Linked DNA regions of Saccharomyces cerevisiae S288C. The protein of the gene in region 1 interacts with the protein of each later gene in a pairwise test. Each region holds a gene or a part of one and is shown in the gene's direction. Other genes may lie near its edges.

Evidence for each region. Proteins that work in one complex are often made in the same cells at the same time.
Region 2: the proteins of UIP3 (region 1) and ATR2 interact in a protein complementation assay, tested with the Saccharomyces cerevisiae proteins (one large-scale study listed by BioGRID).
Region 3: the proteins of UIP3 (region 1) and VBA5 interact in a protein complementation assay, tested with the Saccharomyces cerevisiae proteins (one large-scale study listed by BioGRID).

Annotation. Positions count from the first base shown.
Region 1 is NC_001133.9:181,577-185,425, forward strand, and holds UIP3 (DUP240 family protein UIP3), read left to right. Parts: upstream 1-2,193; coding exon 2,194-2,901; downstream 2,902-3,849. Other genes in the region: KTD1 (DUP240 family protein), read left to right, coding at 3,316-3,849.
Region 2 is NC_001145.3:823,791-828,052, reverse strand, and holds ATR2 (Atr2p), read left to right. Parts: upstream 1-1,701; coding exon 1,702-3,324; downstream 3,325-4,262. Other genes in the region: DNA-binding transcription factor CAT8, read left to right, coding at 1-1,025; phosphoribomutase PRM15, read right to left, coding at 3,422-4,262.
Region 3 is NC_001143.9:657,778-662,044, reverse strand, and holds VBA5 (basic amino acid transporter), read left to right. Parts: upstream 1-1,580; coding exon 1,581-3,329; downstream 3,330-4,267. Other genes in the region: GEX2 (glutathione exchanger), read right to left, coding at 1-603. UniProt on the Saccharomyces cerevisiae protein: Transporter required for vacuolar uptake of basic amino acids.

The DNA of each region.
Region 1 (3,849 bases):
AAAGCTCCAAACGCACTTCTAACTGAGTACAATGCACGATCCCACTGACAGACAAAACAGCTTCACAGAATTTGATCATGCCATCGTAAAAACCACGTAGTAAGGAATAAAAAATCCCGAAGTCGATCATACTATGTAGAGATGTACATGAATAGTCTAGGAATCTGGTCTTCCAGCATGTTGCTTTGGTCTGCTTCAAGCGCTATGGAAGCGCTCGCCATGAGATATGCTGTTTCAAGGCAAAATAGCAAAGCTCTTTGTAAAGAAATACAATTCAGAGAAGAAGCTACAGCATTTTGTTTCTGGATGATCCCTGCAGGTTCATACTACTAAGTAAATCTTGAACAGTTCAAATTTCAACAATTCAGAAACCGCTCTTTTTATATATACTCTACCAAACGAGATGAAACAGCATTTTTTTACTCTTATAAGGTACCAATATTTTGACGTATGCTTTCTTTAACGTTCACGATCGGGCTGGGCCATTAAACTTACCTTAGATATTATTTGGAACAGCACCGCAAGTGCTGATGTCCCAGAAATGGGCGCCGGTTCAATTAGGTCGTGAAGTCAGACATATGGAGACTCTCGGACTGAAAGCACTAAGGGATGATAGCTGGCATGCCAATTCCATTTTAAATTTACACATCAAGTTACAGGGTTTGGGAAAATCACGTTCAAAGCCTGAAAATTTGAGGTTGTTCACGGAAATCATTTGGTTATGTCTGTCGGCCTGCTATTTAGAGACATTTTTTATTGCAACAACCTACTCTATGCACTTACACGGAATCGCAGAATAACGCGCGCACAACACAATTGGGAAACGATAGGATTTTGAATAGTGTATTGCTTTGTACCGATTTAAATAATTCTTTCTCGTGTTGAATCCGAGTTGAAGATGAGTATGCTTTGAAGAGGTGAAATATCATCAGTAAAAAAAAATAACGACAACTGCAGGACTCGAACCTGCGCGGGCAAAGCCCAAAAGATTTCTAATCTTTCGCCTTAACCACTCGGCCAAGTTGCCAAAATTGTATGTTATTTGTTGTATCTCAAAATGAGATATGTCAGTATGACAATACGTCACCCTGAACGTTCATAAAACACATATGAAACAACCTTATAACAAAACGAACAACATGAGACAAAACCCGACCTTCCCTAGCTGAACTACCCAAAGTATAAATGCCTGAACAATTAGTTTAGATCCGAGATTCCGCGCTTCCACCACTTAGTATGATTCATATTTTATATAATATATAAGATAAGTAACATTCCGTGAATTAATCTGATAAACTGTTTTGACAACTGGTTACTTCCCTAAGACTGTTTATATTAGGATTGTCAAGACACTCCGGTATTACTCGAGCCCGTAATACAACATTATTTTCAGTGATAAAATATGTAAACCAATTATAAGAAAAAGGATTGCGTTGCATCACAACTGTAAACCATTAATTAAAAAGAGCAATTGCTATTTAGATTTGTTGCTGAGAATTGGCTAAAAAATCTGATAATTGTAGGACTTCTATTATTGCTAGGGGCAATGTGTTGGAATGCAATTCTGTTGGAATAAAAATCCACTATCGTCTATCAACTAATAGTTATATTATCAATATATTATCATATACGGTGTAGAGATGATGGCATAAGGTATGAAAAGCTGTCATCGAAGTTAGAGGAAGCTGAAGTGTAAGGATTGATAATGCAATAGGATAATGAAACATATAAAACGGAATGAGGAATAATCGTAAGATTGGTATATAGAAATATAGACTCCATTATGGGGATTCCTAGACCCTCGAGGAGAACCTTCAAGTATATTCTGTATACCTAATATTATAGCCTTTATCAACAATGGAATCCCAACAATTATCTCAAAATTCCCCCAATTCTCAACATCCGACTGCCATGCAATGTGCTTTTCTGGATCTCACTCATGATCATAATGGCCCTGTAAAAGGCTCGCACTATTATTATTATATCTTCACTATATATTATTTCGGAGGCTGTACCTATCAGTGAAAAAACGCCTCTAAAAATGAAAAAAAAAAAGAATATGAAAGGGGTTCTGAATTGCTAAAATATTTCGTCAAAGCTCAATTAGTATCATGATCAAGTCGTAATTCGAATCAGCATAACAACCTCCAAAACCATATAATAACCTTACACAAGACAAGATATCAATTCAACATGCAAACCCCTTCAGAAAATACCGACGTCAAGTTGGATACTCTCGACGAACCCAGTGCACATTTAATCGAGGAAAATGTGGCTCTTCCAGAGGATACATTCAATTCGTACTGGAGTTATATACTTAATGAAATCGCTCGTTGTAAACCGCTAATGATTATGTTCCTAATACCTGTGTGTTTGGTTTTATTGATTACGTTTTTTCATGATATCAAAGGTATCCTTGTGTTTTTAGTGATTTCTCTTATCCTCTCTATTATCATTTTATTGATCGGTATAACTGCCTTCGTGTCTGAGACCTTGAATAAGGGTTTCATAATTAAGCTTTTAGTAGAAGTCATTACACGTAAACCAGCAGTAGGGGGGAAGGAATGGAGAATAATCGCATATAATATGAACCAGTATCTGTTTGACCATGGGATATGGCATACTCCGTATTACTTTTTTTGTGAACATAGGTGCCATAAATTTTTCAAAAGCCTTATCAAACAGACAAGGTCGAATGCACATTTGAGTTCACCAACGAACGGTGCAGAGAATACGCAGTCAAACACACCAGCAAAAGAGGTTTCAAATGAGATGGTAAAACCTTATATCTTTAGTTCTGATCCAGTTTTAGAAGCTTACCTTATTAAAGCTGCGGAAATTCACAAAGAAGCTGAATTTGAGTATTGGAGAAAGCAATACCCAGAGGTTGATTTGCCTTAGGGCCGAATTTTTGGTATTTATCTAGTATATTCTAATATAAAATGTACGAGCATCATTAACTTCAAGAACATTACGAAGCCCGCAATTAAGTGTCAGTCCATCTGGGTGTAAAAGTTATGTACGCTCGAAACAAATTTTATGTAGTTTACTTTAGATGCAAATGCTATTATATATTTTGCTTTATGATCCTCGGCTTGATGCTCGCCAACGTGAGATAGCTGGTCATCACAATAGATCAGCCGGGACGCTTTTCGATCACATCGAATCCCTTCGGGACGTTGCAACAATACGTGAAAAATGCCTCAAAAATAATAAATACAATGGTGAACAACGTTAAAAAAGCATAAAACAGCTGGCTATTTTGATCAGGATAACATCTATAAGTGCCATATTAAGGCAAGATATCAATTGACCATGCAAACACCTTCAGAAAATACCGACGTAAAGATGGATACTCTCGACGAACCCAGTGCACATTTAATCGAAGAGAATGTAGCTCTTCCCGAAGACACATTCAGTTCACATCTGAGTTATGTACTTTATGAAATTGCTCATTGTAAACCGATCATGTTTATGATCATCATAATCGTGAGTTTGATCTCATTGATTGTGCTTTTTCATGATAACGACGGGTGCACTGTGATCTTAGTGATGTCCCTTATAGTAGCCTCCATGGCTTTAATGGTGGTTGCAGCATTCACATTCGGGAAAGCGATCACTGAACAGGAGTTCATGATAAAGCTTTTAGTGGAGGTGATCGCACGCAAGCCTGCGGGGAAGGAATGGGGTACTGTCGCATATAATATGAACCAATATCTATTCATGAAGAGACTATGGTATACCCCGTACTATTTCTATAGCGGCAAGAAGTGCCATGAGTTCTTCACCACTCTTATCAAGGAAGTGAATTCTGGTTCGCACTCGGATTCCTCATCGAATAGTGCCGAG
Region 2 (4,262 bases), on another chromosome or scaffold:
CCAATATAGGTCAAAACACGATTGAGAATAAGCCTATGCACATGGATGCGATATTCAGTCTACCAAGTAATTTAGATCTAATGAAGGATAATATGGACTCTAAACCGGAACAATTAGAACCCGTTATTAAGCAAAACCCTGAGAATTCAAAAAACAACCAATTTCATCAGAAAGGAAAAAGTACGAATATGGAAAAGAATAATCTCTCTTTCAACAACAAGAGTAACTACAGCCTAACAAAGCTAATGAGATTGCTGAACAACGATAATTCTTTCTCGAATATTAGTATTAACAACTTTTTATACCAAAATGATCAGAACTCCGCGTCAGCGGATCCGGGAACAAATAAAAAAGCCGTTACAAATGCAGGTGCCAACTTCAAACCACCTTCAACTGGCAGTAATACCAGCCAAGGCAGTATCCTTGGAAGTACAAAGCATGGAATGGACAACTGTGATTTCAACGATTTAGGTAATTTTAACAATTTCATGACAAATGTCAATTATTCTGGGGTCGACTATGATTACATTGTAGATGCATCACTTGGGTTGGCTCCTTTATTAGTGGATACGCCCGATATCTCAAATACCAACACGACGTCTACTACGTCAAATCGAAGTAAAAACAGCATCATCCTAGATACGACATTTAACGATGACTTGGATCGGTCACGCATGAATGCCAGAGAAGTATTGAATCCTACCGACTCAATTTTAAGTCAAGGGATGGTATCCTCCGTAAGTACGAGAAATACCAGCAATCAAAGATCTCTTTCATCGGGCAATGATTCAAAAGGTGACAGTAGTTCTCAAGAGAACTCAAAGAGTGCAACTGGCAACCAGTTGGATACACCTTCTACACTGTTTCAAATGAGAAGGACCTCTTCAGGGCCCTCGGCGTCCCACCGTGGTCCAAGACGGCCTCAGAAAAATCGTTACAATACAGATCGATCAAAAAGTTCTGGTGGCGGAAGTTCCAACACAGATAATGTATCTGATTTATTCCAATGGCAAAACGCCAAATAATTCTTTATTTCATAGTGTAATATATTCAAAACGGAATCCTCTAAATATTCATGAAACAAATAACATTCTTACGTATAATTTCTTAATAGGGCAATTGCCGTAGCTTTCGTTCACCTTATGAACAGCCAAATTTATTGTTGGAAAAAAGAAAAGATAACAAAGACGACGCCAAAACACATCTTGATGCAGCGCCCATGTTCCTCAGATTTATTAATGGAACTACATTTCAGATTAGGAAATTTTTTTGCTAGTTCCCATGGTTACGTTACCGGAGGACCATCTGACAGCGCGGAGGCTGCACGGAAGGGAAGAGAAGGCAACAGGGGTGCGCATAAATAGCGCCGACAATGCGACGCCAAAAACGTGGCTCGTATATTGATTAAGTAAAATCTTTATTTTTCCTACACAAATGTCCGTAGAACGCGTAAACTTTTTTTGCTTTGTTATAGGAGTTTTATTTATGAGATAACAATGGCATGACGAAGATTATGCTATAGTATTGCCATGGTTACGAACTAAATTTTCTTTCATATCAGTTTTTCGAGGAAATACTCAGAGACATTTGGCTTGGACAAAAATAGGTATATAAGGCAATGGAAATAGATCTTTTAACCATGGCTAGTTCTGGAAACCAATCTAAGCACACCAAACATACAACTCAAAGATCTGATTGGAAATGTTTTCAATCTTCAAAAAGAAAACGAGCGTGCAGGGCACGGACTCTGAGATAGATGAGAAAATTACAGTGAAAGCAAAAGATAAAGTAGTGGTTTCCACAGAAGATGAAGAGGTGACAACAATTGTTTCTTCAACCAAATCAACTCAAGTGACCAATGACTCACCATGGCAGGACCCCACTTACTTCAGTTCCTTTGGGAAAGAATTAATGTTCATAGCGACATGCATGTTGGCACAGTTATTGAATCAAGCGGGCCAAACACACGCTCTCTGTATAATGAACGTTCTTTCGAAATCCTTTAATTCAGAAGCAAACAATCAGGCATGGTTGATGGCATCTTTTCCCTTGGCTGCTGGGTCGTTCATCCTTATTAGTGGGAGGTTAGGAGATATTTATGGATTGAAGAAAATGTTGATCGTTGGTTATGTCATCGTAATCGTTTGGTCTATAATTTCTGGTCTCTCCAAATACTCTAATAGCGACGCGTTTTTCATTACGAGCCGTGCGTTCCAAGGAGTTGGAATTGCGTTTATTTTACCAAATATTATGGGGCTTGTTGGTCATGTTTATAAGGTCGGTTCATTCAGGAAGAACATTGTTATTAGTTTCATCGGCGCATGTGCTCCAACAGGCGGCATGTTTGGTGGATTATTCGGGGGGTTAATTGTCACTGAAGACCCCAATCAGTGGCCTTGGGTATTTTATGCCTTTGGTATTGCAACGTTTCTAAGTTTATTAATGGCATGGTACTCCATCCCAAACAACGTTCCCACAAATATTCATGGGCTTTCGATGGATTGGACTGGGTCCGCGCTTGCCATTATCGGGCTGATTCTTTTCAACTTTGTCTGGAATCAAGCACCAATAGTTGGCTGGGACAAACCTTATATCATTGTTCTTTTGATAATATCTGTGATATTCTTGGTTGCTTTTTTTGTTTACGAAAGTAAATACGCAGAGGTTCCTCTTCTACCACGTGCAATGACGAAGAACCGTCATATGATTATGATATTATTGGCGGTATTCCTGGGATGGGGGTCGTTTGGTATTTGGACATTCTATTATGTTTCCTTCCAACTAAATTTGAGGCATTACAGTCCTGTTTGGACCGGAGGTACGTATTTCGTTTTCGTAATTTTCGGATCCATGGCTGCATTCTTCGTTGCCTTTTCTATCAAGAGATTAGGACCAGCTCTACTACTATGTTTTTCACTAATGGCATTTGACGCTGGTTCCATAATGTTTAGTGTATTGCCAGTGGAACAAAGCTATTGGAAGTTGAACTTTGCGATGCAGGCTATCTTATGTTTTGGTATGGACCTGTCCTTCCCGGCATCATCCATTATATTGAGTGACGGGCTTCCAATGCAGTATCAAGGTATGGCTGGATCATTAGTAAACACCGTTATTAATTATTCAGCGTCTCTATGTTTAGGTATGGGAGGCACTGTTGAACACCAAATTAATAAAAGCGGCAATGATTTGTTGAAAGGTTACCGAGCAGCTGTATATCTGGGAGTTGGGCTCGCTTCTCTTGGTGTTGTGATTAGTGTGACTTACATGCTTGAAAACCTTTGGAATCGACACAGAAAATCTGAAGATAGAAGTTTGGAGGCATAAACTAGTTAAATGTATATTGATATAAGTGTAGGTACAAACAACAAATATAATGGCATTCTTTAAGTCGCTTGGTCTTAATGTATAGGTTAAAATAGTATCAAAATTTTGTAACTATATTCATTTCATCTGGTCTAAACCATTCACGTCTCAGCACATTCCAAGTCAATTTCGCCAAGAAAGAGGCTCTTTGTTCTTCATTTGCGCAAGCTTCAATATATACTTTAAGTTTTGGTTCTGTTCCGGACCCGCGAATAGTGAAGCGGATATGCTCATTCTCACTACCGTTACTTGGTCTAGCAGATACTGTTATCATTTGTGATGTAGGATCGACGGGTAGAGTAGGTTTATGATTTATGGTATCCGATTGGTAACCAGTGGTTAAATCTCGATAGTAAAGTACTTCGATTTCTTCACCAATAGATGAAGGATATGACGCGCCCTCAGGAGTGTAGACATTCCTGATGTAGTCAAATATATCTTTTGTAACAGTTGGATTTGGAACGACATAATAGCCATTGTACTCTTTGAACACGCCATATTTTTTGAAGCCATTTTCTAAGACATTTAGCGGGTCCAAATTGTGGTCTATTTTCCACTTACAGTAGGCTTGCAAGAAGACAATGGATGCACTGATACCATCCTTATCATGCTCCATTGCTGGAAACATGTAGCCTATTGCTTCCTCGAATCCAAAAGGAACGTAATAGCCTTTCTTTTCCAAGAGTATGGCACGATTTCCGATCCACTTAAATCCTGTTAATGTATCCTCATAATGGAACCCTTCTATTTCTGCCATTTTTTTTATCATTTGTGAAGACACTGTTGAATTTAACATAGCCAACGGATGAACGTGCTGAAATTCTTTGTCCATACTTTTATATTTCTGATATTCATAAAATGCAAAAAGAAAACCGATTTCGTTACCTGTTAGTTGTCGC
Region 3 (4,267 bases), on another chromosome or scaffold:
GCCTGAAATCCATGGTATTATGATATATGGCCAATATGAGGCGTACTGGTAAAACATTCTCCATTTCAAGGAGGAGAAATCTGAGAGTATTAATGTCAGGAGCAGATTTGTTCCGACGTATCCACAGTTATAGAAAACCGATCCTGCTGCATACATGGTGAGACGGGTCGCCTGTGATTGAATGATGGTTCCCATTATATAAAAAATAGTTGCAACTAAAAAAAGCCTTAGTCTTCCGAAGTGGTCAGAGAGTCTAGAGTAGACAACTTGGGATCCGACACTCACAACAGCATTGATAACTTGGACAGTTGAAAGTAAGGAGTGTTCTGAATATGAGTTCGTTGCATAGCCCGTATAGGTCGATCTAAGTGTGTAGTCTAAACTAATTCCAAACCCACATACAAACGCGGTACTTATCAGTAGAATTTTATATTTCAAGGAATCAAACTGTGCAGACATAATTTCGTTTTCTTTGAGCTTAAAAAAGGTCGATGTCATAGAGTACGTGTCATCGTTTGAGTGACGTTCTCGCTCAATAATCTCACAGGACTGCCTAATTCCACTTTTTTTATTACTTGAGGCACCAACAACACTAGAACTCATCCGATAATTTATTTACTTGATTATTCTTTTTTTTTTTTTTCTCGTTCCAGTCCATAAAACTATTTTACTTTTCTTATTTATGTAAATAGTATTTAAGATTCTACGGTCGCTACATCTGCTAGAAATGGAATTACTTTAATACATTCCATGTTCTCATATATATTTTACTGACACATTTTGTCACTATTTTTTTTTTAACTTTTTTTTGGAAGTACTAAAATTATATGCTCGTAATTATTGAGTATCAAAAAAAAATAAAAAAAATTGCTGTGACGCCCCTTCAATGTGGTGTCTATACACCTGGTGACTTTAACTTTAACTTTGACCTGTCGTCGTACAATCAACTTACTTTCCGAAAATCCACAACGAACCAGTTATACCGAAGACTTTTGTACGACAAGAATACTGTACCGTCGAAACTATCTCTTTTCAAACTAATGAGTGAAGCTTGTGTTTATGTCTGTTGAAACAAGGAAAAAAATGCGGTGCCTGTCGACAGGATATGAGCACAAGTGCAAAATCATCAAAAAATTGAGTACCTAGATCCGGTGGTGTAGGACGAGCAAAGTTCCTTCATAAACAAACCGTAAGGGTTACTGATACACAATTTCCTTTGTGTAAAGAGTATTTGAGCAAATTAGTCGGCGATTGAAAGCAACACCCTTTTTTCTATATATAGTAGGTGAAAGTTAACATGCGAGTAAAAGTAGTGCCACATTTCCTTTGCAGCAGGTGCAAATTAGTACATATTTAACAGATAGCGCCGCACCTCATATGCAGCGCGTACATGATACGAGTCGACAAAATATGCAAAAGATAATAGTGTCATCACACCTTTATGAGAAGCGAATTTTTTTTTTTTTTGGTTTAAATATATATATACATATATATAGATGTATTCTAGTTATACTCATACCTAGAACTGATCAGACCAGATCATACCTGGTATAGAGCTTAATCGATAGAAATTCAAAAATATGGAGGAAACTAAGTACTCTTCGCAGCAGGAGATAGAAGGAGCATGTGGTTCAGACGCTTCATTGAATGCTAGAGGTAGCAATGATTCTCCAATGGGACTTTCCTTGTACCTCTGCCTGGCTTCGTTAACTCTTGTACTATTCATAACTGCACTGGATATTTTGATAGTGGGAACTATTATTGACGTGGTCGCAGAACAGTTCGGAAACTACTCCAAAACAGGTTGGCTCGTTACAGGCTACAGTTTACCAAATGCTATTCTGAGTCTCATTTGGGGAAGATTCGCATCTATCATAGGTTTCCAGCATAGTCTCATTTTAGCAATACTTATTTTTGAAGCCGGATCCCTAATTGCTGCCCTTGCCTCTTCAATGAATATGCTCATTTTCGGTAGAGTTGTTGCTGGTGTTGGGGGAAGCGGACTCCAAACGCTTTGCTTTGTTATTGGTTGTACGATGGTTGGTGAAAGGTCACGTCCATTGGTGATTTCCATCCTAAGTTGTGCATTTGCTGTAGCTGCTATCGTTGGTCCTATAATCGGAGGTGCCTTTACAACCCATGTTACCTGGAGGTGGTGCTTCTATATCAATCTTCCTATCGGTGGTCTTGCCATTATTATGTTTTTACTCACCTATAAGGCCGAGAATAAGGGTATACTTCAACAAATTAAAGATGCTATAGGAACAATCTCGAGCTTTACTTTTAGTAAGTTCAGACACCAAGTTAATTTTAAAAGACTTATGAATGGCATAATCTTCAAGTTTGACTTCTTTGGTTTTGCCCTCTGCTCTGCAGGGCTGGTCCTTTTCCTACTGGGGCTAACCTTTGGTGGTAATAAATATAGTTGGAACTCTGGCCAAGTCATCACATATTTGGTTTTGGGTGTCTTACTTTTTATTTTTTCATTGGTGTACGATTTCTTCCTATTCGATAAATTCAACCCGGAACCTGATAATATATCCTACAGGCCTCTCCTTCTAAGAAGATTGGTAGCAAAACCAGCCATAATAATAGTAAACATGGTAACATTTCTATTATGTACCGGTTACAATGGGCAAATGATATACTCTGTCCAGTTTTTCCAACTTATATTTGCGTCGAGTGCATGGAAAGCCGGTCTTCACTTGATACCAATCGTTATTACCAACGTTATTGCGGCCATTGCAAGTGGTGTGATTACCAAAAAGCTCGGTTTAGTTAAACCACTCTTAATATTTGGAGGCGTTCTTGGGGTAATTGGAGCAGGGCTTATGACACTTATGACAAATACGTCCACGAAGTCAACTCAAATTGGTGTTTTGCTATTACCGGGGTTTTCCCTTGGATTTGCTCTACAAGCATCGCTCATGAGTGCACAGCTTCAAATTACCAAAGATCGTCCAGAAGCTGCTATGGACTTTATTGAAGTAACAGCTTTCAATACATTCATGAAGTCATTAGGTACAACTCTTGGTGGTGTGCTTTCAACCACTGTTTTTTCCGCCTCCTTTCACAATAAAGTATCACGAGCTCATCTAGAGCCTTACGAAGGAAAAACGGTTGATGACATGATTTTGTATCGTCTTCAAAACTACGACGGTTCTCATTCGACTATTGGAAACATTTTAAGCGACTCCATTAAGAACGTATTTTGGATGGATCTAGGGTTTTATGCCTTAGGATTTTTGTTTTGTAGTTTTTCATCCAATAAGAAATTAATCATACCAAAAAAGGACGATACACCAGAAGATAATTTAGAAGACAAGTAGCGCAGTTATTTTCTTATTTTCATTTTATTTTTTTTCGCCTTTTATACAGACTTCAACACAATCAGAATCAAATAGGTGTATCGCAATGGAATGTAATTTCTTAAGTATTCTATATGTACTTAAAACCTATTAATATATGGATCAGTAGTTCATAAAATTCATGCTGGTGCGTTCAAAGATGTGTCTTTAGTAAGAAATCTGGAAAATTCGCGAGCCTGAATATACTCATCGCAGTGCAAGAAAAAGGTTGTCTTCTTTTCTTTTCTTGACAAAAATGCAGCGATAACCTGTAAAGAGAATCTCAAATAGACACATGATAGCAGCTGCGTAATAACAGACCTCAACCGCAATCACATTAAAGGCGTAAGCAAATTTGGCCAGCAAAATTTTCGTTTGTTCCTCGACATAAATTCTCATCAGAAAAACTGTTTACTGTCAGTGCTTTTGTCTTTGCCGCCAATACGGCAGAGAATTACATAGTATACTACGATAAACTTCTATAAATTTAAATATAGATAAAAATAGCACGATATGAACCACGGTACTCTCCAATAGTATACTTGCGATAAAATCAGCAGCTAAGTACTGAATAAGCATTTAAATTATGGTATTTTTTTTTTGCTCCTGCTGAATATTCGGGATTCTTAACGAGAGAGTTTCTTTTGTGATGATATAATATTATTTTCTAGTATAAGTAAAACTATCAAAAAAAAGTAATAATAACGTAGCTTGTTTATATACCATAAAATGTACCAGCAAAATTTTGTTTGGCACAGACAGGTTCAAAGGAGTTATTTCTTAAAGTTCTCAAAAAAAGTAGTGGATTAGGACATATAGCCCTGAAAAGTTAAAAGCGACTTCCTGAATGCCTTCTAATTACACACAAATATATGACGTAAGCAGATCGTATACTTCGTAGCTAGAACTGGAATGAATAA